Linked DNA regions of Sus scrofa. The protein of the gene in region 2 interacts with the protein of the main gene of each other region in a biochemical or structural test. Links are inferred from orthologs where the notes say so. Each region holds a gene or a part of one and is shown on either strand. Other genes may lie near its edges. The genes, in order: KLF1, HDAC1, KCTD11, CTBP1, PRKACA, NR1D2 and NR0B2.

What was found.
Region 1: the proteins of HDAC1 (region 2) and KLF1 form a complex in vitro, tested with the Homo sapiens proteins (2 studies listed by BioGRID). The link is inferred for Sus scrofa from reciprocal best matches to the Homo sapiens genes HDAC1 and KLF1.
Region 3: the proteins of HDAC1 (region 2) and KCTD11 form a complex in vitro, tested with the Homo sapiens proteins (2 studies listed by BioGRID, with this or other methods). The link is inferred for Sus scrofa from reciprocal best matches to the Homo sapiens genes HDAC1 and KCTD11.
Region 4: the proteins of HDAC1 (region 2) and CTBP1 form a complex in vitro, tested with the Homo sapiens proteins (2 studies listed by BioGRID). The link is inferred for Sus scrofa from reciprocal best matches to the Homo sapiens genes HDAC1 and CTBP1.
Region 5: of the proteins of HDAC1 (region 2) and PRKACA, one has a biochemical effect on the other in vitro, tested with the Homo sapiens proteins (3 studies listed by BioGRID). The link is inferred for Sus scrofa from reciprocal best matches to the Homo sapiens genes HDAC1 and PRKACA.
Region 6: the proteins of HDAC1 (region 2) and NR1D2 form a complex in vitro, tested with the Homo sapiens proteins (2 studies listed by BioGRID). The link is inferred for Sus scrofa from reciprocal best matches to the Homo sapiens genes HDAC1 and NR1D2.
Region 7: the proteins of HDAC1 (region 2) and NR0B2 form a complex in vitro, tested with the Homo sapiens proteins (2 studies listed by BioGRID). The link is inferred for Sus scrofa from reciprocal best matches to the Homo sapiens genes HDAC1 and NR0B2.

The regions. Positions count from the first base shown.
Region 1 is NC_010444.4:66,143,343-66,147,566, reverse strand, and holds the start of KLF1 (Krueppel-like factor 1), read right to left. Parts: upstream 2,801-4,224; 5' UTR 2,750-2,800; coding exon 2,663-2,749; intron 1,998-2,662; coding exon 1,157-1,997; intron 1-1,156. UniProt on the Homo sapiens protein: Transcription regulator of erythrocyte development that probably serves as a general switch factor during erythropoiesis. Is a dual regulator of fetal-to-adult globin switching.
Region 2 is NC_010448.4:88,777,111-88,780,610, forward strand, and holds part of HDAC1 (histone deacetylase 1), read left to right. Parts: intron 1-1,156; coding exon 1,157-1,295; intron 1,296-1,753; coding exon 1,754-1,895; intron 1,896-2,949; coding exon 2,950-3,042; intron 3,043-3,500. UniProt on the Homo sapiens protein: Histone deacetylase that catalyzes the deacetylation of lysine residues on the N-terminal part of the core histones (H2A, H2B, H3 and H4).
Region 3 is NC_010454.4:52,696,698-52,700,954, reverse strand, and holds the start of KCTD11 (BTB/POZ domain-containing protein KCTD11), read right to left. Parts: upstream 2,801-4,257; 5' UTR 2,005-2,800; coding exon 1,306-2,004; 3' UTR 1-1,305. Other genes in the region: ACAP1 (arf-GAP with coiled-coil, ANK repeat and PH domain-containing protein 1), read right to left, coding at 3,570-3,670, 3,991-4,040. UniProt on the Homo sapiens protein: Plays a role as a marker and a regulator of neuronal differentiation; Up-regulated by a variety of neurogenic signals, such as retinoic acid, epidermal growth factor/EGF and NGFB/nerve growth factor.
Region 4 is NC_010450.4:493,128-497,309, reverse strand, and holds the start of CTBP1 (C-terminal-binding protein 1), read left to right. Parts: upstream 1-1,382; 5' UTR 1,383-1,508; coding exon 1,509-1,548; intron 1,549-2,689; exon of another isoform or gene 2,690-3,105; intron 3,106-3,903; exon of another isoform or gene 3,904-4,182. UniProt on the Homo sapiens protein: Corepressor targeting diverse transcription regulators such as GLIS2 or BCL6. Has dehydrogenase activity. Involved in controlling the equilibrium between tubular and stacked structures in the Golgi complex.
Region 5 is NC_010444.4:65,073,425-65,077,675, reverse strand, and holds the start of PRKACA (cAMP-dependent protein kinase catalytic subunit alpha), read right to left. Parts: upstream 2,801-4,251; 5' UTR 2,585-2,800; coding exon 2,539-2,584; intron 1-2,538.
Region 6 is NC_010455.5:10,755,499-10,759,753, reverse strand, and holds the start of NR1D2 (nuclear receptor subfamily 1 group D member 2), read right to left. Parts: upstream 2,801-4,255; 5' UTR 2,510-2,800; coding exon 2,494-2,509; intron 1-2,493. UniProt on the Homo sapiens protein: Transcriptional repressor which coordinates circadian rhythm and metabolic pathways in a heme-dependent manner.
Region 7 is NC_010448.4:84,224,403-84,228,469, reverse strand, and holds NR0B2 (nuclear receptor subfamily 0 group B member 2), read right to left. Parts: upstream 2,801-4,067; 5' UTR 2,738-2,800; coding exon 2,197-2,737; intron 924-2,196; coding exon 682-923; 3' UTR 314-681; downstream 1-313. UniProt on the Homo sapiens protein: Transcriptional regulator that acts as a negative regulator of receptor-dependent signaling pathways. Specifically inhibits transactivation of the nuclear receptor with which it interacts.

The DNA.
Region 1 (4,224 bases), on a different chromosome or scaffold from region 2:
CTTCCTGTGCCCTGGTACCCTGTGCGCGCATCCTAATGCTATCACAGTCTCCATCCTTTGGCACTCTCCTCTGTGTTCCAGCCCCTCCCTTGCACCAGGGGGCCTTCCAGCTGCTGCCCAATCCTGACCCTGATCTTGGCTCTTGAGCCTAGAAATCCACCTGGTGTTCCAGGCCCTGTCTTCGGCGATTCCACTCTCTCCCTGCTAGACCTGGCCCCTCCTTCCTGAGTCCCAGTGCAGGTCTATACACGTGGGCCCATCCTCTGTGCAGACCCCGAAGAATAGGCCTCATCCCTCCTCTTCCCTGCCACTATTCTTCGTCCCCACCCATCTTTTGGCTCTTTGGGACCTGGCTTCTCCTCCTAAGCCCACCCTCTTCTGTTTCCCGGCTATTTTCCTTTACTCTTCAGGACCTGCCTGGGCGTCAGGGCTCCTGCAACTAACTCTTCTGAGCTCCAGCACACCCCCTACAGTCTGCCTCCGCCTCCATGCCAAGCAACCTAATTTTCATACCCCTGGTTAAGGCCCCAGAACCCCTAACTCCCGCTTCTTGCTGCCACAAACCTGAACCCTGTATCTTTGGCCCCACCCCTGGTATTTAGAATTGTCCCCTCCCCTCAGTCCCTCTAGCCCCATTCCCTACACCTCTGGTCCAGCTTTCTACTTCTCTGCCTGTCCCGGGCCCTGATCTTTTTTTTTTTTTTTTTTTTTTGCTTTTTAGGGCAGAACCTGTGGCATATGCATGTTCCCAGGCTAGGGGTCGAATCGGAGCTGCAGCTGCGGGCCACAGCCACAGCAACACCACACCGCAGCTTGCGGCAACGCCGGATCCTTAACCCGCTGGGCTGGGCCAGGGATGGAACGCGTTTCCTCATGGATGCTGAGCCACAACAGGAACTCCCCAGGCCCAGATCTTACCCGTCGGTTCCCCAAAACGCTTCCCAGGTTTTCCAGATCCCTTCTCTGTCCCCACCCGCTTTCTGCACCGCTTGGGGTTGGACTCCTGGTGTCTCAGTCGGGTCCCAGCCTTTCCGCAGCACTTTGCTCCGAGATTTTGCTTTAGCCCCGCCCCTCGCTCTAGGTTTCCAACTAGACCGCACTCCTCTTCCAAGGCTCCGCCCCAGCCCCACCCCTGAGCCGGGCCCCGCCCCCTCACCGGTGTGCGTGCGTAGATGTGCCTTCAGGTGCGAGCTCTTAGTGTAGCTCTTGCCGCAGCCGGGGTGCGTACACGTGTGGGCCGCCTGCCTCTTGCGTGCCCAAGATCGCCGGCTGCGCTTGGATGGCGCAGCCTCTGCGGTTCCTCCTGAGTCTCCTGTGGTCCCCCCGAGTCCTGCACCTGCCGTCCCGGGTCCTAGACAACTCAGGAAGGAGTGAGGCGTAGCGGGGCCGGGCGCCGGGGCCGGGAGCCCACGGAAGAGCTGGAAGTGCCCTTGGTACTGCGGCATTGCGTACAGCCCTGGGTACCCGGACAGCAGCCCATAGGGGGCGCCCGGGGCTGCCTGCACTGGAAGCCCGGTCCGCGGGAAGTAGCTACCGGAGGAACCCGCACCTGGCCCCGGGTACATCGGCTGCAGCGGCAGCGCCTTTGGCTCGGGGGCTGGGATCAGGGCTGGGCCCACGTAGGCGTCGGGAGCCGGGGTTCGTGGGGTTGGGCGCGCCCAGCCCGGGTGCTCTTCGGCACCCAAGATCCCAGCCACCAACCCTGGGCCGCCTGCATAAGTGCCCAGAACATCGGGCGGCGTTGGGAATTGCGCCCCAGGGCCCTCGCCAGGAGCCAGGGTGCAAGTTTGGGGCGCGCAGGTCTGGGATGTGCTGCCCAGCTCTGGGCACTGGAAGTTGGTGAGGAGGAGATCCAGGTCCCAGGGGGTAGCCACGTCCCTCTCATCATCTTCGTTCTCCTTGGGTGCGTCTTCCAACTCCGGCCTCACATGGAGGGGTGGCCCGGTGGGGTCGGGGGGACCTGGGCCCAAGTCCTGCACCTCTTCAGAGCGCCACCACTGTGGGAGGGAGCCGGTAGCAAGAAGCTTCAGTGGACACCAGGGTATCCTGCCCAGAGATGATGGGGGGCCCGGATGCCCTGATGGGGGCAGGCTGGCCAGAGGCTCAGGAAAGGAATCTTGTTTGCTTGTCCATCATGTCAGTCTGTCCCACTCCCTCACACTGTCGTCCTCATGCCCCCCACCCCCATCTCAGCTCCAGAGACAGAGGTCTATCGGGTCAGGCTGGAGACAGCCGATAAGGCTTACATTATCTAGAGCCACACTGAGGCGTGGGGGAAGGGCTGACAGAGCCAAGAATGGAAGGTTAGGGAAGGCTCAGCCTTGCCTCAGTTTCCCCCCAGAATCTTCAACTCCTTCCCTGTCCCCCAACAAAACTAATCCCAAGATTAATTCATGGGTGTCCCCTAGACATATCTGCAATTTCCCTCTGATATCTGAGCTTGTCTCCCTGAGTCTAGATGTCCATGTTGTTCAGTTCCCAGCCTTAGTTTTCTGTGACAGAAATAGGCCCCTAGACCAAGGTCAGAACCCTGGCCTGCACTGAGGACTCACAGTCCTGACCAGGTCTCTGAATTCCAGGTAAAGATGCAGATCTGATCCCCCAGCTCTGTGGTCTGGGCCTGGAACCCCAGCCAGCCCGTCTAGACCCCACCTGACCCCACCTTGAGGAAGTCTTCCTGTGTGTCCGAGAAGGGGCCCAGGGTGGTCAGCGTGCTGATGGAGGGCAAGGCGGTCTCTGCTGCAGCCATGGCTGGCTGGTGCCTGCCCTGGGGCTCAGGCCTCTTCTCCTTTGGCAGCCTCGTGGGCTCTGAGGCTCTGCTGGCCCCTTGGAGGGCTCCTCTCTGCCCTTAGCTGATTGGCTGCAGCCCCTGATAAGGGGCAGGCAAAGGCGTGGGTCACTGTTTCTGGGGAACCGACTTGCCTAGGGCTGTTTGGGGCTGAGCCTTAAAGACTCATCCTGTATCCAAAGCCAATCAGATATTCAGGGGCTGGGGGTTCAGGGGCTGGGGGTTCAGGGGCTGGGCAGTGAGGCACTGGGTTCCCAGAGAAGGAGAAACTTGGGGACATGCTCTCAGTTACTTTCCTGGAGAAGGGGTGACAGACAGAATAAGGATTCTAGAAAGGAATTTTGAGAGCCCCCTTGCCTCTGGCAGGACATTCTGGCTCTCCCCTTCCCCAATAAACGGCAGCAACCGTGTTGATGGCGGGACTTGGCACAAACTCCCTGCCAAGGCAAGCATTATCAGACTCCCCAGATGCTGGAGGCTGCTATCAGGTGGGGGCCCAGATCAGCTAAGGCTCTGTCCCTGGTGAGTGGCAGGGCTGGGGGCTGGGGATTAACTTTTTTTTTAAGGGGTAGGGGAAGGACAGGGGTTTTCTTATCTTTTTGATCATTTTATTTTATTTTTTATTTCTAGGGACACACCTGCATCATATAGAAGTTCCAAGGCTAGGAGTTGAATCAGAGCTGCAGCGGCTGGCCTACAGCACAACAACAGCAACTCTGGATCTAAGTAGCATCTGCAACCTACTGCAGCTCAGAAAACACCGGATCCATTTAACCCAATGAGTGGGGCCAGGGATCGAACCCACATCCTCACGGATACTAGTGGTGTTCTTAACCCACTGAGCCACAACAGAAACTCCCAGGATTAACTTGCTTTTAAATTTCCTGGGTTGTGGGAGTTCCCGCTGTGGCTTGGCAGAAATGAATCTGACTAGCATCCATGAGGACGCAGGTTCAATCCCTGGCCTTGCTCAGTGGGATAAGGATCAGGCATTGCCGTAAGCTGTGGTGTAAATTCAAGATATGGCTTGGATTTGGCATTTCTGTGGCTGTGGCATAGGCTGGCAGCTGCAGCTCCAATTCAACCCCTAGCCTGGGAACCTCCATATGCCGTAGGTGCAGCCCTAGAAAGACTATATATATATATATATATATATATATTTTTTTTTTTCCCCTGGGTTGTAAGCTTCCAGGGTCTGTGCACAGTGGCAGGAGAGTCCCTTGCCCATCAACCATCACTGTTTACCATGGAGACGCCCCCATCCCCCAGGCGGCATTGCAGGGAGTGTGGCTGTGTGGGGGCTGAGGCTGGTACAACTAGAGCTGCTCCAGTGTGATGGGGGCTGGGGAGGAGGAGGTGACCTTGTCTTCTGGGTGGGATAGGACTGTTGGATGGGGCCACAGGAAGCACCTGACTTGCAGGAGACCTAGCGGCTG
Region 2 (3,500 bases):
TGTAGGCCAGTGGCTACAGCTCCGATTAGACCCCAGCCTGGGAACCTCCATATGCCACTGGAGCAGCCCTAGAAAAGGCAAAAAGACAAAAAAAAAAATTATATATATATATATATATATATACACACACACTCCTCTCGCCCTCTTACATCTTGCTGTCTGAGATGGCCTAGACTCTCTGTGAAGTGTGTTTCTCCCAGCGCCGCTCTCTCTTGAGATGGCCTACACTTTGTCTCTAAATAAATCTACTTCTTACCTATCAAAAAATAAAAACATAAGAAAAATATATATTAATCACGACCCACTAAACCAATTTTAAGGCCTACTAGTAAGTTTGTGGTAGCTTCATTTTGTACCACCTTCATTTTGGAAAACAGTTTTTTAAGGAGATCGTGCTGTGATGCAGTAGATAAGAATCTAGATTCCGAAGTTTCCGTCATGGCTTAGCAGTAACAAACTCGATAGTTTCCATGAGGACGTGGGTTAGATCCCTGGCCTCGCTCAGTGGGTTAAGGGTCTGGTGTTGCCATGAGCTGCAGTATAGGTCGAAGACTCAGCTTGGATCCCATGTTTCTGTGGCTGTGGTGTAGGCCAGCAGCTGTAGCTCTGATTCAGCCACTAGCCTGGGAACTTTTGTATGCCATAGGTGTGGCCCTTGAAAGACCAAAAAAAAAAAAAAAAACTGAAAAAAGAATCCGTCTTTGGCCTAGGAACTTCCGTATGTCATGGTTAAGGCCGAAAAAGAAAACAAGCAAACAGAATAGTTTGTTTTTGTTTGTTTTAATTTTTTATGGCCACTTCCACGGCATATGGAAATTCCTGGGCTAGGAAACTTCGTCCTGGCAGCTGTAGTAATGCAGGATTCTTTAACCCACTGCGCCAGGCTGGGGATTGAATCCACGCCTCTGCAGTGACCTGAGCCACTATAGTCACATTTAACCCACTGTGCCTCAGTAGGAACTTCAAAACCAGTTTTTTGAGTAGCCAGTATCATGTTTATTCCCTGTTGGAATAGGGCAGGGGGAGAGGACTGGCTGGTGAATTGTACAGTGTAGCTGAAGAGGCAGGTCTTCCTCTTACTGGGCTCTCTTGGCTTCTGGGGGGAAGGGGGAGATTGGCTTGGTAACAGTCTTGTGATCTTTCTTCCCACGCCCAGCAAGTGCTGTGAAACTTAATAAGCAGCAGACGGACATCGCTGTGAACTGGGCTGGGGGCCTACACCATGCAAAGAAGTCCGAGGCATCTGGCTTCTGTTACGTCAATGATATCGTCTTGGCCATCCTGGAACTGCTAAAGTATGCCTGCCTGGCCTTGTCTCTTGGAGGAGCACCTTAGGCCAGGTTCCCACTTCCCTCTCCCCTGGGCTTGCCTCCCTAGTTTGCTTTTCCTAGCGGTGTGCTGGCTAGGATGTGTTCGGTGAGTGTCTCTGGCCATCTTCTTCTTGACGGGGTCTTGATTTGATCTGAGCCCACGGCAAGATAGGGGCAGGCGCTGCTCAGATCCTGCCTCCAGAGTGTCCCTGTGTGGCCGGAGTTGACCCTGGCTGTAGAGTAGGAAGATTGGACTTGGTCGCCTTGGTCAGGCCTCTGGAGACACCCTGCCGCTCTTCCACCTTCCTTCAGCCAGTTTCTACGTCTCTGGTGCTTAGAGATACCTGAGGGAGGCAGCCAGCCCGGTAAGCTGGGACCTGGCGCCCTTGGCGCGTCCCACTCCCAAGGAGCCCCCAGACCCCCTGACCCCCTTCTGATCCTAGGTATCACCAGAGGGTGCTGTATATTGACATTGATATTCACCACGGCGATGGCGTGGAAGAGGCCTTCTATACCACAGACCGAGTCATGACTGTGTCCTTTCATAAATATGGAGAGTACTTCCCAGGAACTGGGGACCTACGGGTGAGAACTCCCTTTAGGGGCCAACCAGCTCACCCTCAGCTGCCAGCTCTAAGTCTCCTATCTCATGTCACCAAAAACCACTTCCTGCCTCTTCTGCCGTTCAGAACATCACAACCTAGCTTGGGACACCTGCTATGATCTCTTTCCCTTTCTTATTCTGGAGGAAAGGAATGATGGTACATGAAGCTTTGGGAGGGATGGGGGTCTCCTGACTCATTGCACTTCCTCCTGGCCCCAGCCGGGTTGCATTACACTATTCACATATCCAGAAAGCTTGAATTCCAGGCTAAGAAACCTCAGGTTCTATCCAATGAGCTAGGAATTGGGACCTTTATGGACCATCTCAGGGGTTCTTAACATTCCCTTTGATCATCTGACTGAAAGCTCTGTACTGTCTCCCTGGGAAAGTACATGAAATTTTACATCTGATGGCAGATAGTTTATAGCACCTCCCCTTAGTGAAACCTATCCATGGACCTCTGGATAAGAATCCTTCAAAGCTGATTCATTTAACTGTTCTGCTTCTATTAGCATGAATACAATGAAACCAGCCACTTTGCAATACCAGTAGCCCTTGGGTGAAAAAGTGGCACTAATTCAGTTGTTTGCAATGGCAGGCCTTTGAATAATTGAGCATTTACAGTTTTGAAGAATTCTTCCCTTTCTGCTTTCCTTCTCGAGAGAATGGGAGGTAGAGGAGTGAGCATGCAAGCTCCCTGGCAAGGGAAGGGTTGTTGTGGGATGAGTGTTATTTTTTGTGGTCCAGCCCCCAGCCACCTTTAATCCAGTCCAAAGGGAGAGGTCTTGTGCTGTGGGGTAGGATATTCAAATCTCTGGCCCATAAATGGCCTCAGTGGTGTGTCCAGAGATGTGAGCTAGACTTGCCCTTGAGGGGAATGGTACTGACCTGCTCTGTCCCTGGCCCACCTCATGGGCCCAGCGTCTCTCTCTTAGAACCACTGCCTCCTTCCTTAGCCTTCCAGCCCCCATCCTTGAACTTCCTTCTAGCTTCATCTTTGAGTTTTACTTTAACTTTACTGTCCCTCTTGATTAGGATATTGGGGCTGGCAAAGGCAAGTATTATGCTGTTAACTACCCGCTCCGAGATGGGATTGATGACGAGTCCTATGAGGCCATTTTCAAGCCGGTAAGTGGCTTACCCAACCACCCTGGGCTATAGATGGGACTGATCTAAGGGAGGGGTAGCAACCCCCTAACATACTTCAGAAATCTCTCCCTGCTGAGAGGCTGGTTGGAAGTGAGATGTGTTTCAGCCCTTGTCTGCATGCTGCACGGCCAGTCAGGGGAACGGAATTCATCCAAATAGTTATCGATGCCGTCTCTGGAGCAGGCTCTCTGTTGGATCCAGGAATATTTAAGACAAGATCTATGCCCATGAAGACCTCACAGTCTATGGTATGGGAGGCAGGCACATCCCCAGAAGCATGTAGTCAGTGCTGTTTTTGAGGGATGAACAGAGGAGTGAGAGAGAAACTGCTTCCTGAGCTGAGGAAAGGGTATTCACAGGGGTGGTGATGTTTGAGTGGACATTGAGAAATGAGTTGCCCAGGTGAAGGAGGGTGGGGCCTGGAGGGGAAGGGTGGC
Region 3 (4,257 bases), on a different chromosome or scaffold from region 2:
AAAAGCAATTTTATTTGTCTTCTTGTAAATCGTGACCAGTGATAAATAGCAAGCGACTCCCCCAGTGAAGAAGTCGTTTGTGAGTATCCCATCCCCCAGGGACCCAGAAATCCCATCCTTTTCCATAGCCTCCCCCACTCTCTCAAACTCCTCTGTTCATCTCTCTGCCCTGGACAGCCTTGGGCCTTCCCCAGCTATCTCCTAGCAACAGGCTCATGGTTGCCCTAGCAACCGAGAGTTCTATACAGGGCTCCAAGGCCCGGCTGAGCCCCAGTGACTTCTCTCACTTCTCAGCAGCAGAGCCTAGTGACTCAAGGCCCGGCAGGCTCCTCCTGCCGACGTGGTGATGTGAGACACATGTGTGCACGCACACCTGTGATTAAACTAATTCTCAGTCTGCTTCCACCCATGGTGCTGGCACACCTGGTGCCAGAACAGTTGCCAGGCAACCCCGAACAAGCCTGCACATGAAGAGCCCGCAGAAAGACCAGCACACAGACACCATCTCCAGCAACACAGATGGGAGCCAGGAGGTGAGGGCCCCACACATCATCTGACCCACTGGCTGGCAGGCACGTACACATGCCTGAAGCGAAGGAAGACAGGCCAGGACCCAAGAACGTGCTCCCGCCTCCCCCCTGGGCAGCCCCACCATCAATATGGGGTCTTTTAAGATGGGAAGGATGCTCCAGCCCCACAGTTAATGGGGATTCTCCTAGCTCCCTTGTGGCCACCTAGGGTGGGGCGTAGCCTTTCTGTCTCCCTCAGTGGTGGCTTGGGACATGGCAAAGGATCTCCCTTCCCGTGTGTCGGAGTGTCCTGGCCTCTCCTTGGTCAGGCCAGGCCAGGCCAGGCCACCAGCTCCAGGAGAAGTCACAGTCTAGGAGACCACATTAAAGCAATCCAAAGACCCTCTTTCCCCAAACCCTGAGGGTCCCTCCACAGGTCTGATAAGCCCAGCCCTGCAAGAGAAGTGTCTCCACCTTTCCAGACCCTGAATACCGAGCTCCAAGCAAGGAAACACTGGAGGTCCCCAGGCTCAGAGGAGAAACAGCCAAGGGAAGCTTCCCTACCCCTCCCAGGATTAGCATCAGTCCAGACCCTCTGGTCTTGTGGGCTCTGGTTTGGGGATTGCTGCCCATATCTGGGCTCCAGTCAGGTGCAGTGGGACTCCTGACTCTCACAGCTCCCCAAGCAGAGCCAGGAAGAGGCCTCAGGAGAGCCTTCATCCCTTTTGGCACCCCCTTCTTTTTCCCCTTCCCCCCCGCCCCGGTCAAACGGAGGGCAGCGTTCCCAGTTCAGTTCTTAGTGCCGAACGAAGCGCAGAGATCGGGAGTTGAGCAGATCTTCGGGGTCAGGGAAGACGGAGTCGAGACGGAAGCCGTGCTCCAGGGCCACCCGCAGCACCTCCTCCAGGAAGCTCGGGGTGCCCACCACCTCCCGTGGCTCTCCTGGCCCCCCAGTCCACAGGGGCTGCAGCCCCAGTCTCTGGTACTCCACTTCCGGGAGTTCCGAGGGGCGGGGGGCCCACTCCAGACGAAAGTGTGGGCCTCCCTCCGCCCTGTCGTCATTGGCCACACCAAATCGGGCCCGCATGGCACCCAGACACTCGGGGTCGGTGCAGAAGAGGTTGGCCCGGAAGGTGTCCACCTGGACAGAGCTCAGCTCATAGTGGTGCGGGCCCCGGCGAGCGGAGAAGTGCACCAGGCGGGGGCTGCTTTCTACATCTGCGTGGAGCAGGGCGGCTGTGGGTGCCGGGGTCCCCCGAGATGCCTCTAGTTCCCGCAAGGCATCCAGGAGAGGCCGGATCTGGTAAAAGTCAGCCTCTGCCCGGAGAAGCGCCGTCTCCCCATATCCACGGGGCAAGTCCAGGCGGCCCAGCCGCAGAAAGTTGAGGATGTGCCGGAAGGCCTTGCCATCTCGGTCGATGAAGTAGTGGCCACCTCCCTGGGGACTGAGGTTGGGGGTCATGGGGGTACCGGCCCTAAACATGGCCCCCAGCATGGAGTCTGGGAATCGAGTCAGCGTCTCCAAAGTGGTGGAATATAGCGTGCCCCCCACATTCAGGGTCACAGGGCCCCCAAAGGCGGGGGGCGGAGAGGGCACAGGAGGAGGGGAAATTTTGAGGAGTACTGGGGACACCGAAAGAGAAGAAAAGGCGGAACTTCCTGGGTGTGTGCAGAACTGGGGCGTAAAGTTCAGGCAGTCTCTGGGTCGGAGGCACAAATTGGAGTACAAGGCAGCAAGATGTGGGGCTCACTCCAGCTACTGTGGTGGGGGAGGGTTCTGGGCACAGAAATTCCGGAAAGATTGGGAGAACGGATAAAAACAGCAGAGGGAAGCCAGAGAGGGACGAGAGATTTAGGTCCGATTCCGGGGGTCAGCGATTCCTCTATGTGGTCTTCAGACAGTGGGTTTCCGAAATCCAACCAGCAGGTGACGGTGGCGAGCACAAGGCCGACTCTTTGAAGGGTCAGGTTTCTGAGCTCTGGGGCAGAGCGCTGTCGCTCCGGGCGAGTCGATGCAGAGCTCCGGGAGCCAGTCGGAGGCCGGGCCTGGCCTGGCTCCGGCGCGGGTTCCAGGAGATGGAGGAGGGGCTGACCGGAGCCGACACCGGAGGCTCCTCTGTGTCCGCTGGGGAGCGAGGATGCACGCTCAGTCCGAGCTGGCAGTGTCCAAGGACTCCGATGGAAGCAGCCGGGAGTCTCGAGACCGGGCGCCGCCGCCTTCCCCCAGTGTCGTCGCAGCCGCTGAAGTCCTCTCCGCCCCCAGGAAGTGGCCTAAGGGCAGCGGCCGGGGGCCCTTTAAGAGGCAGCCCCGCCCCCTGGGCGCCCCGCCCCCCGCCCCCGCCGGGCGAGCGCGGCTTGGGTGGTGGTGGGAGCCGAGAGCGGCGAACCGGAGAGACGGGGCGGACGGGCTGGCTAGGCGGACGCTAGCGGGGGTGGGGTCCTGCGGGTGACTCAGGCGCGTCGTTCCGGATGTGGCTGCGACGGCCCCGCCGGCCCCCAGGTGTGCTAGACCTCACGTCTGCATCTAGGCTGGAGCCGGCCCCTCCTATCTCGCCGCTCCGGAAACCGAAGCCTGGCCGTCGGGGGCTGGGGACCAGTTCCTTCCCAGTCGCTCCGCAGGGAATTCCCGAGGGGGCGGGTGCTGAGCCGCCGCATTCCAGGGATGCCTCCGGGCCTGGGCCGGGGTGGCCTGAGCCAGCCTCGCCATCCCAGCCATATGCCAGCACCCCCAAGGGAAGGCCGGGCCCAGCCCACGCGAGCGGCTTCTCCCCACCCGGATGGGTCTGGCCACGTCGCCTGAGCCTACGTGCCCCGCGCGACTCTCAGACTGAGGCCGAAGCTCCCTCTTCTTGTTCCCCTTGTTCGCCCCTCCGCCCCTCGTGTGACTCAAGCTCGCAAACTCCCAGCCGCTCCTGCACCCCAAGAGACGCAACGCCCAACTCCTTGCCAGCCTGAAGGGGCTGCCCAGTAAATGAACTTTGAAGAGCAAGGCACAGAGGATTTAATGGCGAAGGGGCGGAGGGGAGGAGTAGCCGGTGCGGGGCCCTCGACGGTCTGAGATCATAGCGTGTGGAGGTCATGACTGCGCCGCCTCAGCTTCTCGGGGTCGTCAGATGCCATGAGGGAGAAGTCTCGGAAGATGTCGAGATACGTCTCATCTCCTGAGGGGAGGGAGGAAGGGCTGGGACGCCGGGTGGCTGGGCGCTAGCACTGAAGCGCACAATGGGGACAGCCCGGCCTGGTAAGAGCACGCGCTTCCAGCGTGGGTGGAGGGGACATCTGCGCTGTCAGGGCAGCGCCCTCGCCTATTCTTTGCTCTGTTTCAAGGACCTGGCGCGTAGGATGTGCCCCATCCATATCTGTTGACTAAATAATGTAATTAACCAAAGAAGCTGAGCACAGGGGGTTGGGGACAGGTCACCAGCGACCAGAAGCCCAGAGTTACAGTGTCGTGTGGGGGCGGGGGTGGGGGGTACTTTACCAGCCTGGCCCTGGGCCGCATCGGCCTCTCTCATCTTTGCCAGTCGGAGCCTGTAGGGAAGGGAATTAAGGAATGAATGACATTCTCTTAACAACCTACCCCCCCAACTTCCTATCTTTTGAGTTGGGAGTTTCATTCATCTGTTTTGTTGAAAAGATGCCTAACGACAATATTAACGAACGTTGCCTCTCTCAGAATAAAGTCCCCTTCCTCGGACCCTGCCCTCCCTCCTTCTCCAAGCCTCAGTCCATCCCTGGAGCATCCTTT
Region 4 (4,182 bases), on a different chromosome or scaffold from region 2:
GCTTTCTTGCGTCCACTCACACTTCTCTGATTTATGGACTTTAAAGATGTATAGACAACAGGGTTGGTTTCAGGATGGCCCATCATGTTTCATCAACTGTACCAACACTTGAGTGCTGGTCACGGCTGTTGCCTTTTAAGGAAGTGATTTTTGGAGTTCCCGTTGTGGCTCAGTAGGTTAAGAACCCGACTAACAGCCATGAAGATGCAGGTTTGATCCCTGGCCTCGCTCCGTGGATTAAGGATCTGGCTTCCGATCAAGCTGCGGTGTAGGTCACAGATGCCGCTAGGATCTTGCGTTGCTGTGGCTGTGGTGCAGGCTGGCAGCTGCAGCTCTGATTTGACTCGTAGCCTGGGAACTGCCATGTGCTTTGGGTGTGGCCCTAAAAAAAAAAAAAAAATCTTTTTACCTGGGAAGAGAGTTATACCGCCCATCCTCATGGCCACCTCGTAGCAACGCAACTCCCAGGACAGTGTGGGTCTGGGGAGAAAGGTCTCCAGAGTCTCCTGGGCCCTGCCCCCGTAACCTCACCCGGGAGACCTGGTTAGCTCCCACCCTGAAAGCCCCCATGACCCTTGGGTGGCAGGTCCCCTCTGGACTCTGGAACTAAGCCCAGGTGCTCTCTCTGGGGCTGAGGCGGTGCTCACCCTGACACCTGCTTCAGCCACATCTGGCTGCTTCCCAGGGACCCCACCCCCACCCCAGACCTAGGCAAGTCCCTGCCCTTGGCTTCGAGCAGCTGTCCTGGGGACTCCTGTCCAGGCTGCTCCGCCCAGACACGCCCTCCTCGGTCCCTGGAACCCAAGCACAAGGCCAGGGTTTCCCAGAGAAACCCTCCCGCGTTTGTGCCGCTGCCTCCCACGACCTTGCAGCCGCCAGGAGTCCAAAGGACATTCAAACCACCGGTACCCAGAAGCGCATTCGCTCGCCCAGCCGCCAGCAGGAAGGTGCGAGACCGGTGCGGCCCCGAGGGTGCGGATGACAGCAAGTTCAGCCCATCAGTCAAGGCCCAGTGGATTACAAGCAGGTGGGGCCTGGCAGGTTCAGGGCTGGTGAACGTGGGGGCAGGTGGGATCTGGAGGGTTCGGGGCAGGTGCGTGTGCGGGCAGGCGGGGCCTTGGGGCTTCTCAGCAAGTGAGTCTGCATGTGCTGGGCAGGTGCATGTGCGGGTGCGGGGCGGCGCGGCCGGCGGGGGCGGGGGAGCCCGCAGGCCGGGCGCGGCGGGCGCGGCGGGCGGGGCGGGCGGGCGCGGCCTGCAGCCGTCCGCGTGGTCCTGCGCGGCGCCCGCGCCTGGAAACAGGAGGCCGCCGCGCCGGAAGCCCCGCCCGCGCGCGCGCCCTGTCCCCGCCCGGTGGAGCGGCTGCTGGCGCGGCGCGGCGGCTCGGCACGGCGGCGCCCGGCGCAGGCGAGCGGGTGGAGCAGCGGACGGCGCCCAGGCCGCCCCACGCGCCGGGCTCGCGGCGGAGCGCGCCGGACTCGTCGGAGCCCGCGGCCGCCCGCGCCTTTCAATGGGCAGCTCGCACTTGCTCAACAAGGGCCTGCCGCTCGGTAAGGCCGCGCGCGCGCATTTCCGGCCGCGGGGGCGGGGCGGGGCGGGGCCGCGGGGGCGGGCGGGGCGGGCGCGGGCCCGGCTTTGTGTGCGAGTGCGCGTGCGCGCCGGCGCCGGCGCGCCTCCGGCCGGGGGCGGGGCCCGGGAGCGCCGCGCGCGTGCGCGTGCTGCTGCGTGCGAGTGCGCGTGCGCCGCCGCCCGACCCGCCTGCGCAGGTGACACAAAGGGGCGCGGGGGCCCTGGGACCCCCGCACCCAGGGTGCAGGCCCCGCCAGGCTGGCGCAGCCCTTGCTGGTGGGGCCCTGCGGAGCGGTCTGGCGCGCCGATCGGGGACCCGGCGTCGCTCGTGGCCGGACTGCGGAGCCGAAGCGGCCCTCCGCGAATCCGCGGCGCGGTGTCTTCCCTCACGCTTTGCTCGCCCTTTCGATCCCCACCGGCTTATGAAACGTCCGAAGTGCTGCGTCTGCCGAGGCGGCGCCCTTCCCGCTCACCAGGCGGAGGTGGCAGCAGGGCGCCCGCCTCCTTCTCTGAGCCTGTCTGTTTCCACCTGAGTACCTAGAGTGGTGTGACCCGCTTCTGTTTGTCCCCAGGCACCTTATGCCGCTCTTGTTTTGAGAAGTGACAGGAGCAGGCACCATCCGTGCCCCCGGCAGCACTGGGGCCCTGAGCCTGGGGCTGGCCGGGGAAGGCCGGGTGGGGGGCCCCCCCGGGGTGGTGTTGGTTTGCTGGCCGCTGTCTACATCCCTATCCGGCCACTTCCGCCGCGTCGTGCCCACCTGTCCTGCCACCTTGCACAGTCCCTGCTCCTCCTGGCTTCCAGTAGCTGGCCTAGGGCCTCCTTGTGATTGGGGTGGCGGGAGAGGCGCCACCCGCAGCTTCTTCCGTCCTCTCCTGCCGCCCAGCCACTGGAGCCTATAGATCAGGGATCGCGGACCAGGTTGGGGGGGGGAACTAGCATGGCCCCTGAGCTTTGGGCGGAGCTTTCTCTAGCTGGTGCCAACCTGCAGGCTAGGGAAGGCGCGCCCCTGGGCTTGCAGAGGGAGGGCCTTTAAGCAGGCAGCCGGAACTTGGCTGGGGCAGCCCCCTTTCTGGTGATGCTCTTCTCTGTGATTGGTTAGGAGCCATCACCCTCGAGAAGCGGGATGGGATGGGTTCGCTTCCGGGTGCTCTGAGTTGAGGAGACCGAGGTGAGCCCCTCATCCAGCTCCTGCTTCTCTCTCTTCTCGGGGTGGCTGGAGAGTCGGGTTGCAGATGGGGGCCCAGAGCCTGGACCACCGTCACATCCATGGAGGCGTCCCCCCCCAGCTCCCTCCTTCTCCCTCTGCACAGGTCGCAGTTTCATTTGCCTGAAAACATATGCAGGCAAACACTAAGGAGGAAGCCGCTTCTCAGCAGCGTGAACGTTTGGGGGTGCCCTGTGGGTCAGTGCAGCCTGTCCACTCTTGTGAGCCTCTGGAGGAGTGACCACAGCAGGCAGGAGCACAGACCTGCCTCCGGGGGCCCTGGCTGAGCCCTGGTGACTGGGGCATAATCTTGGGCCCTTTATGGGACCGTCTGTACGTATCTCTAAAGTGGGCCGGCAGTGTGAGACGTGGGGTCACATGAGTGGGCCCGTGCCAGGGGCAGGGCCCGTGCCAGGGGCAGGGCCGGGACTGGGGACTTGGGGGCAGGGAGGGACACGGCTGGGGGAAGGGCCAGGGGCCAAGGACAGGGCTGGGACCAGGCCCATGGAGCAGAGGACAGGGCAGGGCCGGGGGCAGCGCCTCTGCTGTAGCTGCGTGGGCTCGGCGTCATTGTCCTTCCTGTCCCAGAATGTCAGCTGTGTGGGTCCTGCCGGCCCTCGTCGCGGTGGCGTCTCTGGCTGGGGCCGCCTCGGTCTGGGGCTGCCCTTCCTGCAGGCGGTCTGTCTGTCCACAGGCTGGGTTTTACCGTGGTCTCTGGGCGTGCACGTGTTTTGGTTGGGGCGTCGCTGCTTGGGAAGGCTGGGCTGTGTCTGTCCCCCGGCAGGCACGTGCACCCTTCATTCTCCTGCTCCAGGGAGCAGGGGCGGCTGGGCCGCGGTGTCTGGGCAGCTGGACCTTCCTCCCTCCCAGCTGCGTGCGGGGTTCCCCTTCCCGCCTCTTCAGCCTCAGGACACTCAGGAGGGGGTGCCTGGTTCTGTGGGCAGCCCCTACTCAGCCCCTGGTCCGAGAGGCTGGAGCCACCCCTGTGCCTGCAGCGGGGAGGGTGATTTTCTGATGAGCGGCTGCATGGAGGGCCCGGCCGAGCTGAGCTCCTCTCCGCCCCAGCAGGGCCCTTGGGGTCGGCCAGCAGCAGCTGTCGCTTGGCGGGGGCTTCTTTGGGCAGCTGGCCGCGCGAAGGCACTGGGGCCACGATGGGGCTTTTCTCTCTGATGGTTTGCCCCCTCCCCTGGCCGTCCTGTGTCAGCGCCCTGGGGCCTTGCCTGCCGTGGGACTGAGAGATTTGCCCCCAGAGCCCCTTCCCGGGAGAGCCTAGTGCTGGTCCCTGGCTCCGGGCAGAGGCAGCTGTGTCTGAGGCTTTTTGTCCTGTGGGAACGCTCCTTCTAGAAGACTCCTAGTTTCCCCCGCTGGTGGCGTGGGCGCAGGGCTCAGAGCCCGGGGGGCACGTCCGTC
Region 5 (4,251 bases), on a different chromosome or scaffold from region 2:
GCATAGCAATCCCATGATTTCCTTTATACTACTGCTCAGGACAGATCAAGATTTATATCTGAACAAAAATGAGTCAAATTTTTTATTTTAAGTTAACAAAATAGAAGTGGATATAGCAAAAAATCAGGAAGGCAGGTGGGAGAATGTTTGAGTTAGGACATCCCAGGGTCCAGGAAGTTGGCTGGTAGGTGGAACTGGATGAGAATCCTGCCTCTGTGGCATCACCTATGTCAAACTCAGAGAACACGTGTAGAAAATTCGGATGACAGCCCATTATGAAAACCACTTGAGGAGTTCCCGTTGTGGCGCAGTGGTTAACGAATCCGACTAGGAACCATGAGGTTGTGGGTTCGGTCCCTGCCCTTGCTCAGTGGGTTAACGATCTGGCGTTGCCATGAGCTGTGGTGTAGGTTGCAGACGCAGCTCGGATCCCGTGTTGCTGTGGCTCTGGCGTAGGCCAGTGGCTACAGCTCCGATTTGACCCCCAGCCTGGGAACCTCCATATGCCGCGGGAGGGGCCCAAAGAAATAGCAAAAAGACAAAAAAAAAAAAAAAAAAAAAAAAAAAAAAAGAAAGAAAACCACTTGAGCAGACAGATCTATGGAGACCACATAGCCTGGCACATCCTAGATGCCCAATAAATAGTGGCTCTACTTCATCTTGATATTCCAGTCCTGAGTGATCTGAGGGAATTAGCGCTTCCTTCCAGAGCCTCTGATCTGTTTCTTGGGGATCCTTTTCCCTGTGCGGCTTTCCCCCCACCCCTACCCCCACCCCCGGCCCCACTGTATGTGTCTGATATGCCTTGAGAGTTTTCAGGACTATGTCATCTCCCCAACTTTCAACTGAGCCTCTGAAATACACAGCTGCCTGCCTCCACCTTCCACCTCCCAGCCAGCCTCACCTGCTGGGGGCCTGGCTCCTCCCCCTCTGCTTAGTCCCCTCCAAGCACAGGCCCAGACCTTTTTTGGTCACTACCCACCTGCTCCTCTGTCATCAAGCGCTCAGCTACAGGCACTTGCCTCCCCGTTCCCCGCCCCTCGGTGACTTGTCAGGCCTCTCCATGGTTGCTCAGTGACTCTAAAATTTGGCCATTTGAATCCGGATGGGAAGCAAGTTCCCTGGCTTTCATGCCTGGGTCTTTCTGGGAGGGAGCCTTCGGGGAACTCGGACGCTGCGGGTTGAGACCAGTAAATGGGAAGGACCTATGTGGATGTGGCCTCCCTTTTAAGCTCTGACTATTTCTGGGTAACTGGAAGGGGATCCTAGCTGAGGTCCAGCTTTATGCCTGGAGTGATGACAATTTAAGAGCTGGAGGAACTGAGGAAGGGGCTCAAGGCCATTTCTGAAGGCATTTCCAGATACCAAAATCTCTTTCCCTGGCTGGCTGGAAAAGGCCACTATTTGGGGGCTGAGGGAGAAATAGGCTCTTCTCTGGTTGAACCCTGGGAATGATCAGAATCTATTTGTCCCTTGGCAGAGAGGCATTAGATGTCACCCACTACTCCTCCCAATTGCCATCCCTTGAGTCCTCTTTCTCACCATTCCAGCTCAAGCTGAAGGAGGCTTGTTAAAGCCAGACACTCTTCATCCCAAGCCCGGAGCGGGTCAAGAAGCCTGGGGGACTGGGTGAATGACGAAGCCTCAGTTGTGAAACAACCATTTATTGAGGGGCCCTCTGAGGAGCCTAGAGCCTTCCAGAGATGGGAAGGGGCTCTCTGCTGACACCTCCACCCCCCAACCCAGGAAAAACGACGCAATGAATTTTCCAGCAAGATCAGCTCAAACTTGGCTTTGGAAGCACTGAAGCAGTTCTCTAGGTTCATAAACAGTCTGCTACCCCAGCCAGGGACAGACGCTTGCTTGGAGGAGGGAGCACAAGCAGAGGAGCAGAGTGACAGAGAGTATCAGGATGAGAGAGGGGCAGAGAGACCCAGAAAGATCCTGTCCCCCATGTCAAGTGACACAGAAGGGAAAAACAATTCTGGAGGTGGCCCTGAGAAATGCTCAAGGAAGGCAAAGTGGGGTTGGAGGGGGCTGTGATAAGGTGAAGAGGGGAAGGGCAGGAGAAAGATGGCGGGGGCTGGAGGGGGGAGGGGTGTGGTCACCAAGTGGCCAAGGTCCCTGCAGGGTGGAGGCAGACCCCACAGCACTCCCAGACTGGCAGAAGAGGTGAGTGTGGAAGAGGTGAGTGAAGAAGTGGGGGGAGATTTAGAATCTGTGCAGAGGTACCAGGAAAGAAGAGAGTGGGGTAGTGACAGGGCCCCATGTGGGGCCTCAGCGGTTATACGTGCCATGGTTGGCAGTGACAGCTGGGGGGGAGCACGGTCTTTGCACAGGGGGACGGTCTTTGGCAAGGGGGCTCCTACGGGGTCTTCTGCGGGCCTTGGGCCCCAACCTTGGACAGACAGGGGGAAGGGTTCGCTGTAGGGTAAACAGAGAGAAATGGGGGGGATAAGGGGAGGGGCCAAGCGGTGATGGACAGGGAGGGGGCTGGCAGCGCGGGGCCGCGATCGGGGTCACGGCCCGGGCACTCACCGCTCTCCTGCTCGCTGCCCTTCTTGGCGGCGGCGGCGTTGCCCATCGCGGCGGCGGCGGCCGGGGCCGGTCCCGGAGCTGCGGCGCGGCGGGTGCTGGAGGCGGCCCGCGGCCCCGGAGCGCGCTGGGCGGCGGCGGCGGCGGCGGCCCCTGGGGTTGGCTGCGCTGGCTGCGGCGCCGCGACCCCCGCCCAGCCCCTGCTTCCCGCGTCTCTCCGCGCCCGCCCGCCCGGGAACCTCAGCCCAAGTCCGCTGCTGCTGCTGTCCGTGACGCCCCCGCAGCCTGCCGCTCATTGGTCTAGGCCTCCCTGACTGACGGCGCTACGCCGCAGTCCATTGGTCCTCCGCAAACCTCCCGTGCTGCCATAGGATCCCGGCCCCTGACACGCCCCTAGAACGCCCGGCCACTCGCGCGCTTCTGAGGCCTCAGCCGGGCGGGCCGACGCGTCTGATTGGTCCAGCCTCCCGACAGGCTCTGGGGCCCGCCCAGCGAGGCAGTCAATTGGCCAAGGCTGGCTGTCCGGCAAACCCTCGGCCGAACGTTCAGTGTCAATCCCGAGGTGAGAGGGCGGGGCGGAGGCTCAGCCCGCCGCCCGGACCTGACGGGCGGGGCGGCAGGCTGAGCCTCGACCCACCGGGTGGGGGGGCGCGGAGGCTCATCCTGTTGCCTGGACCCGCCGGGCGGGGCGGCCGAGGCTGGCGGGCGGCCGCGCAGCGCTCGGAGCCCCAGGCGGCGGTCCAGGCGGGCGCTCGCCCAGCCCCGTATTCGCCGCAGTCCCCCGCCCCCGCTCAGTGCGGCAGCGGCTGCCGGCCAGCCGAGGTTGGCGCCGCGCCCCCCCCACCCCACCCCGCAACCCCGGCGCAGCCGCTGTCCACCTGCCAGCGGGGGAGGAGAGCAGCAGGCGCCGCGGGTCATAGGTCGCCCGGCCGCCGGCCGTCGTCATTCATAAGGCCTGGCGCAGGATAGCTGCAGGCCCCGGGGCCAGGCTGCGGTCCTCTTGGGTCTCTCTCAGCCACAGCCTGAGCTTCTGGAGGATGCTGGGCTGCAGGAGCAAGGGGATGTTGGGAGGGGGCGCTCACTAGCCATCCTTTTTTACTGGGTCCCCAACTTGGGCTCATGGCAGTGGTGAGCTAGCGCTCATTAAATACGTTATTTCGTACCACACTCCTATCACGTAGGCACTATGATCATCACTCCCATTTTACAGATGAGGAATGGGGCACAGCCAAGATGGGGATTCCCTCTGTCTAGGCAATGCAAAAGGAACGGCCCCTCCTGGAGCAGAGTAGCAAAATTGCCCCTTCCTTAGGGTGCCCTTTTAATATACTGAGGACAGTTTCCCACTGCCACATTTCTGACATTCAGGGCCGGACCAGTCTATGCTGGCGTGGGAGTGAGGAGTGGTCCTGTAGGGTGTTTAGCAGCATCCCCAGTCTGCCACCTGGATGTCAGTAGAACCTTCCTCTCCTCCACCAGCTGTGACAACAAAAGCCACCTCTAGACACTGTTCAGTGTGTCCTGGGGGGCAAAACTGCCCCCAGTTGAGAACCACTGATGTAGAGGAAGGCCCAAACGGGGTGACACAAGGGGCAGGAGATTGGATGAGCCAGCTCTCCTTGGCTTGGAGGGGCCAGCTGGTCTAAGGTCTACAAGTCAATTTGCTCCTCTGCTTCTGGATTTGTACAACCTGCACCCCATCTAGCAGCAGTCTGG
Region 6 (4,255 bases), on a different chromosome or scaffold from region 2:
GAGACACAATGTGTCATTATTTACAGCAGAGTTAGAAACGATCACTGGTTGAGTATGTATTGACTAATAAAATGATATCAACCCAAAGTGAGGTGTCAGAGACATGCCACACAGCAATGAATTTGGCCCCACCCTGGGCTACATTTACAATATGAACAAGTTAAAGGGGATGCTTATCAAAGCCCCCCTTGGCAAAAATTGGGGCATGGCAGAAATTGTTAGTATACTACATAACAGTTTGTGACAGCTTGAAACTGGAGCCAAAAGGAATAGGAGAAAATTTAAGAAAGATAATTACAAGGTCCTACAGCTCAGGTCAAACAATTATCTGCACGAAGGATGAAACCTAGCTTCAGAATAGTTCACATGAAAAGGTTCTAGTTGACTGCAAGGTTACTGTGAGTCAGCAAAGCAGCAAGCCACAAATGCCAAGCCTGCCACAAATTCATGTACATCAGAATCCCGAGCTTGGAGCTCGGCAGCTGTCCAATAACTTCCACAGGAGCCTGTTCATTTCCCAGTCCCACATCCCAAAGGGCAACAAGGATAACGATCAGAAAATACAGCAGAGCAAGGACCAAGGGATGGGATGTGAACTGGCCAGGGGGGAGGGGGGAAATCGGGTCGTCAACAATCATCCCAAGGAAATTTTATAATTTGTAGCCAATTTAAAATCAGGGATCGTGGCTCAGTGGTTAACGAATCCCACTAGGAACCATGAGGTTGTGGGTTCAATCCCTGGCCTCACTCAGTGAGTTAAGGATCCCGCATTGCTGTGAGCTGTGGTGTAGGTCGCAGATGCAGCTCGGATCCCATGTTGCTGCGGCTCTGGCTTAGGGCGGGTGGCTACAGCTCTGGTTAGACCCCTAGCCTGGGAACCTCCATATGCCACGGGTGCGGCCCTAGAAAAGACAAAAAAATAAAAATAAAATCAAAATTAAGATCAGTGAAAATGTTCCAGGAAGGTTCAAACTAGAAAAAAAAACCTAACCACTGAGCCAGCCCACTTTATTCAAACACAAAAGCTGGCTTTATTCATCCATGGTAGGTTAGATGAGGCTGAACTTTATACTTCTAAATCCATACCAAGTAAGTTTAATTCCATAATAGTTACTGAACTTTTTTTAACTACACTCACAGGTTAAACAGGCCCATAGGTAATTAAAACACACGAGAATGACTTTATTTTTTACTGCTGGTGGAAATTTCACAACACTTTGTTATCAAGCCATGGTTTTTTGAACGGGTAACTTAAAACATAATCACTGGCTGCTTCTGCAACCTCACTGTCTTCAGGTAACGGTCCATCCTTTGATTGGGGGGGGAGGGAGGCAAACAAAAGGGCAGAAGGTAGCCGGGTATTGTGCTGGGATGTCAAGGCAGGAAAGGTAACAAGAAAAGGGGTGATAGAGTCAAATTCTGTTATCAGAATCAGAATCAGACAAGGTGAAAGATAACAAGAAAGGGCGTGATAGAGTCAAATTCTGTTATCAGAATCAGAAAAGGTCAGCAACCCAAGGGTTTAAAGAAATTAAGCGAAAAACGACCAGCCTTACAGGAGGCCTGGGAGTCACTGGGGTCACCTCGGTCACGCCCAATAGAGCTGAAGGCTGAGCCAAGGGTGGACCCGCCCATAGAGGAAGGTGGTGAGGTAGAAGGCTTCCCAGAAGAGATCACTAAAACAGTCTTTTTTTTTTTTTTTTTTTAATACGAAGTAGCACCACAACCTGGGCGTTCCCCGGCCCCTCCGCCGGGCGTCGCTGGGAAGCCAAGCACCTCCAGGCCCCGCGGAGGGTCATGCGTCGGGGAAGCCCCAGGTTGTCCGGCCGCACTGCCTTCAGCGCCAGAGCGCCCACGCCGGGCGCCTTCCTCTCCCTGCCCGCAGCCAGGCCGCGGCTCCCGCGTAGGCTCAGCTCCCGGCCGCCGAGCGCGGGTCTCCGCGGCGCGCACGCGCGGCCTCCTCCGCAAAGAGCAACCCCGCGGGGGAGGAGGGAACCGCGCCACGTCACAGCCCGAGGGTTCCGGAGAGGCGGGGCCTCCGCGGGGCTGCGGCGCTCCCGGCTGGCGCGCGCGCACCCGCCCCCACGTGTCCCTGCGGCCCCCGGGAATGTGGGTCACCGAGCCGAGCGGCCTCACGTGTCCCCGCCCGCCGCCGCCGCCCCAGCGCCCATTATGTAATGCCGCGTCATGAGCCCGCCCAGCCAACCGGCGCCCGCGCGCCGCCGAACGTAAACACAGCGCGCACGTGGCTCGCGCGGCCAGGCCATGTGAGGGGGGCGCCCGGCCGGCGCCGCGGGCCGCGCTGCGGCGGTGCGGGGAGCCGAGAGGGCGGCCCCGGGGCGACGAGCTCAGAGCCCGAGGCGAGCCCGCGGCGCACAGCAGCCCTCCCCGCCAGCCCGCGCCCCGCCAGCCCGCAGCCCCGCCGCAGCCCTCCGAGTGCCCGCCGGGATCCAGCGCCCCTCCGCCGCGCTACCCCGCCCAGTGGGCTCTTACCCGCATTCACCTCCATGGTGCCCTCGGGAGGGGGCCGAGGCCGCCCGCTTCCCGCAGAAGGGGCAGCGCCGCCGCCGCCTCAGCACCGCGCCGCCCGGGGCCGGGGCCCCCTCATGGGCAGGGCGGGCGGGACGCCCGGACCCGGCCCCGCGGCCGGAGAGCGGGCTGCGGGGAGAGAGGGCGGCGGCGGCGGCGAGCGGCCCTCTTCGCGGGGTCCCTGACAACAAAGCGGCGGCGCGGCGGCTTCCTGCAGCCAGCGCACCGCGGCGGCGAGGGCGGCTGATGGGGAGGGCAGCCGCGACCATGTGACCCGCGCACACCCCCTCCCTCCGCCCGCCCCTCGGCCGGCCGCTGCGGCGACTCCGCCCCTCCCGCCGCCGGCTCCCCTCCCCCTCCTCCCCAAGCCACCGCCCGCTCTCCCTCACCCTCGGGCCCCTCCTCCTCCCTCCTTCCTTTCTCGCTGCTGACCTTCCCGCCTCCGTGGGAGCCCCCCAGGCTTCCTTCCCCGAACCTGCCCCACCCCCGCCTAGTGACACCTTAGGTCTCCTCGGACGTTTACCTAGGCCCGCCCGGTGGCGCCAAGCAGGCGTGCTTTGCAGGATCCAGGGCTGGCCCCAACCCTTGACCGCGCCTCAAGTCGGCTCTCCGACTTACCCACCTCTAAAGACCAGGCTCTGCAGATACAGCCCACATCCCTTCCCTCTGCACCCCCGGGTGACTTCATTCAGTCCAACAGCTCAAGTAGGCTTGTGTTCTGATGATTGCCGAATGTACATTTCCAACGTCTCCTCTGAGCCCCAGATTCCTGCATTCAGCAGCCCGTTTGATTATGCCACCTTGATATCCTTTTGGCATCTCAAATTTAAGGTGTAGGCAGGCGTATGCTTGTGTCAAAACTCAGCAAATGCACACCGAAGATTTGTGCGTTTCACCTTGTGTGTACATTTTACATCAAAAGGAAAAAAGGGGGGAGACCAATGACGTGTGCCGAGGTATGAAGAGGGCAGTGCACTGATGCCTGCAAATTTAAGTGCATTATGAAAGCAAGATGGTCTGAGGGATGGAGGCCAGGATGGACGGTTAGAAGCATAATAATCTTACTATGTAAATCATGTAGTAGTTGTAGATGTTTTATGTGGGTATTCACTGTAAAATTCTAAGTTGCTCTTTGAAATTTTTCAATATGAAATATTGAGGGAAATATAATTCATAAGACATTTTTACATGTGCTGCATCCCTTCGCCCCCCATCACCCACTGCCCCATCACACACACATACACACTCTACCCCATCAACATCTACTTTTTGATAAATCTGCCAGTTCCTAAAACCAACAAATTGAGTTTCACTTCTCTCTCTCTCTCTTCCTGTCTTTCTCCCTCTCACTGCTTTTATACCTGGTTCAACCCATTAACAGATCTGAGCTATTCTACCTTCATAATACATCTTTGATCTTTCAGTTTTTCACCATCAGCATTGTCATTACTGTAGATCAAACCACCATCTTCTCTTGCCTGGGCTACTCTAATAGATCCCTAACAGGGGAAACTGTGCCTGGAACCACCTACAATCACTTCTACCCAGTGTTATGTTTTTAAATGTTAATGAGATCTAATTACTCAAAACCCTCCAATCGCTTCCTATTGCTTTTTTTAAAATCCAGTACTTGAAGCTGCCCTGCAAAGCTCTGCACAAACTTTGGGCCCTGCTTCTCTCCTAGGCCTTCGAGCACCATCTACACAGCTCTCTACACAATGTGGTC
Region 7 (4,067 bases), about 4.6 Mb from region 2:
GCGGGAGCTGGGGGAGGGGGTCAGCAGGGGATGGGGGCAGGGAGAGATACCTACTACCTTCTAAGATAAAGTCAAGGATGTGAGGGAGTCTTGAACTGATGCTGCCCCCTGGATTTAGACCCATGCAAAATAAATCGCATCCCCAGAAATGAAATCATCATTCCCCTCTGATATATTAAAATTCCAGTTTCCAGAGGTCTGACTGCTGTACACTTAGAGTTCCTTCTTCAGGGGCTCCCTCCTATAGGGGCAGGGCGGGGTAACCCCAGAGGTGAGGCGGTCCCCTCCACATGTACAAAATACAGCGTCAGGCTCCATGTGTGTCACACTTTTTATTACAAAAACCAATAACTTAAGTCAGTTCTGTACAAAGTCAGGAGGACTCCTGACCCAGTGAGCAGTCAGACTTTCCAACCCCATCCCAGGAGGAGACAGGAGTCTTGGCCCAAAGGTCCTGGGACCACCAAGGGCTGGCCAGACAGCTGGAGCACGGTGCCCAAAACAAGGAAGGCCAAGATAGGGTGTAGCCCAATTGGCTGGGCCAGGACTAGCTGCTCCTGGGGAGCCGAGAGCTCGCTGTCCAGGCTTGCCCCCTCTGGGAGCACCGGCTCACCCCTGGGGACAGCCAGGTCAAATCAGTGCTGCCAGCCTCCACCTGATCTCTGCCTGGGCTGGAGCAGGTCAGCTCAGCAAAAGCATGTCCTCGAGGAGGCCAACGATGTCAACATCTCCAATGACAGGGCGAAAGAAGAGGTCCCCAAGCAGGGTGGGCGGAATGGACTTGAGGGTGGAGGCTGCGAGGAGAACACGAGCCAAGCGGCTTTGGCCTGCTGGGCACCAGGGCTCCAAGACCTCCCACAGCGCCTGGTGGGCCTCGTGCTGCAGGTGCCCGATGTGGGAGGAGGCATAGAGGCCTGGAACATCTGCGGGCAGAGAAGGCAAAGAGGGCTGGTGAGGACCCTGCTCCGACACCACAGGATAAGACTGGCCCAAGACCTGAGGCCGCCAGCTCAGCTTTTGGGACCCTATTTCTATCTCGAGTTACTTATCCATCACTTTATTCATTGCTCCTTTATGGTGAGGTAGTATAGAGCAATGGTTAAGACCCAGGCCACCTGGGTTTGAATCCCACACTATCATTATTAGCTATGTGGCCTTGGGAAAGTTACTCAATCTCTGTGCCTCTGTTTCCTCATTTGTAAAATGGGAATAAATAATAAAATGATAGGAGTTACTGTCGTGGCTCAGCAGTTAACGAACCCGACTAGCACCCGTGAGGATGCAAGTTTGACCCCTGGCCTCCCTTGGTGGGTTAAGGATCCCGCACTGACAGGAGCTGTGACATAGGTCAAAGATGCGGCTCGGATCCCGCATTGCCATGGCTCTGGCATAGGTGGGTGGCTACAGCTCCGATTGGACCCCTAACCTGGGAGCCTCCATGTGCCATGGGTGCGGCCCTAGAAAGACAAAAAGGCAAATAAGGATAATAATAATAATGATAATGATAACAAAATGATAAAATGGGTATAAAAACCTATCTTCTAGACTTGTTATGAGGTTTGAATGAGCCAGTACATGTCAAACCCTTAGCACTGGACTGAACATACGGTAAGCGTAATATGAGTATTTGTTACTATTGTTCTAAACAATTTCTTTGATAATGTATCCCATGAAGGCCTTTTGGGGAGACATTCTCATCTAGGTGCTCTCCAGATAACAAAGACACTACCTCTATCTGTGCTCTCCCGGCTGAAGTTTACACAGACTCCTCCCTCTCCTCCCCCACATCCCTCGTTTTCATTCCTCTTCTATGCATGGTCTTTCTGGACCCACGGACTTGCACCTTCAGAATATCTTCATGCCATCAGCTGGTGAAGACATGACTGAGGTACAGTTGTGTCTGTCCACCCTCCCTTTCAGGACTCCCGCCTTCCCTGAGGGTCAGGACAAGGTTCTGGGGCAGAGTGGCTGAAGTGAAGAGACCCAAGTTCCCATCCTTGCTCTGCCCCTCCCTGGCTGTGTGACTTTCAGCGAGTCACTTAGCCTCTCTGAGCCCCTTTTGTGAGATGACTCTTTGGTGGTGATAATGAGGACCCAAAAAAGACAACGGGTGTCAAGCCTTTAGAAGGCGCCCTCCTGGCTAAGCCCTGGCCCCCTCCAGCCTCGGCCCCCATCCAGGAGTGTCTAGGAGCTCACCAGGGTTGAAGAGAATGGTCCCTTTCAGGTAGGCGTATTCCTTGGGGCCCAGCTCCAGACTCCATAAGGACTCCAGGCAGCACTGAAGCCACTGCACGGCAGCCAGCGAGGGCTGGGGCCGATCCAGCGGCTGGCCACTACCTGCGCCGCTGCTGGGCTCCTCCAGCAGGATCTTCTTGAGTATACTGGGAACTGGGACCTCGGCCACCTCGAAGGTCACAATGTCTTGGGCCAAACCAAGCAGGAAGAGGGGACCCCAGCAGCCCCGCAGCAGCTGCCGCTGATCCTGGGGAGGCAGCTGGCAGAAAGACGGCAAGTTCCTGAGGAAGGCCAGCGTCTTGGCCAGAACATTCAAAGCCTCCTGGCAGGTGCGATGGGGGGTACAGAGCCGGACAGGCCGGTGCTGCCTGCACAGGCAGTGGCTGCGGGCTGGGGGCACAGACGGCCGGTCCCTGTCGCTGGGGCTCAGAAGTGCATACAGAATGGTTGGGCGGCCTGCTGCACTCTGGCATGGGCAGGTCCCTGGCTGCCTGGAGCTCATGATTGAGGCTCTGCTCCTGCTTCCTCCCGGCTCTCCCCTGCCCTCTGCTCTGTGCTATGGGTGCTATTTATATCCCCCCATGGGGGAGGGCGGGGGAATGGCCCAACAACCTTGACTCCAGAAGTCATGTTCATTGAAAAAAAAAGAAACACACACTGACCCTGGCAGGACCGGTGAGGAAGTGAGGGGGGAGGGGGCCTTGGAACTCCACGTGGCTCTGATATCGCTTCAGTCAATGAAGCGGCGGGTGCAGGGCAAGAGCCGCCTGCCTGCTGGCCGGGCTGCCCTTTGTCAGATGATTCAAGTGGATAAACAGGGTCATTAACCCAGGCTGTACCAGGGCACCAAGGCCTCAGGTGCATGATTGCACCCGATTGCAGGTGGCCGTGGCAGGTGTCCCTGTTGGTGCCAGCAGGACTCTTGCTCGACTGGGAAGCCAGCCCCAGACCGGGACAAGCCTTGAACACAAGGCCCAACCTGGAAGCGCCTTATCACTTGCTTGTTTGCCTAACCTTGGGGCCCTGCTCCCGTTGTCAGTAAGGAACAACCTGCAGGGAAGGGAGCCAGGACCCTGGGGGGCTGGGAGGACTTTGCCCACTTTGCAGTCAAGGAGGCCCCTTTCCTCTGACTCCAGTTCTGGGGGGTCCTGCACGAATAAGATCCTTAAGAAGTCTTTCTCCCCAGCCTGGATTCCTGGAGACCCTGAAGGGCTATATCTGCTGAGAAGCCTTTGCAGAATGATAATGAAATACTGCTGCTATTTACTACATGCCAGGCACTTTCCACTCTCTTATTCAAAGCTGCCCTATAAGATTCCAAACCTTTTTTTTTTTTTTTTTGTCTTTTTTAAGGTCACACCCACAGCATATGGAAGTTCTTAGGCCAGGCGGTCAAATCAGAACTGCAGCTGCCTGCCTACACTACAGCCACAGCAATGCGGAATCTGAGCCAAGTCTGTGACCTACACCACAGCTTGAGGCAAGGCTGTTTCCTTAACCCACTGAGCAAGGCAGGGATCGAACCTGCATTCTCATGGATACTAGTTTGTTTCTTATCCCACTGAACCACAACAGGAGCTCCCAAGATTCTTACTTTTTGAGACTCAAAGAGGTGAAGTGACTTGCCCAAGTTCAAACCACTGAGAAGAGACAGAGCCCAGATCAGTCTGACTCCAAAATCCTCACTTGTTGCCCTGGACCCTCTGGCCCAATTGGGCAGCCAGAGCTGTGGGGCCTGGGTCTCCCAGAGCTCATGACCACCTGGGCCCCCACCTCTGCTTCTTGGTCTGCAGATGTTGCCCATGTGATCTGGGCAGAAATGTTGCTCTGCT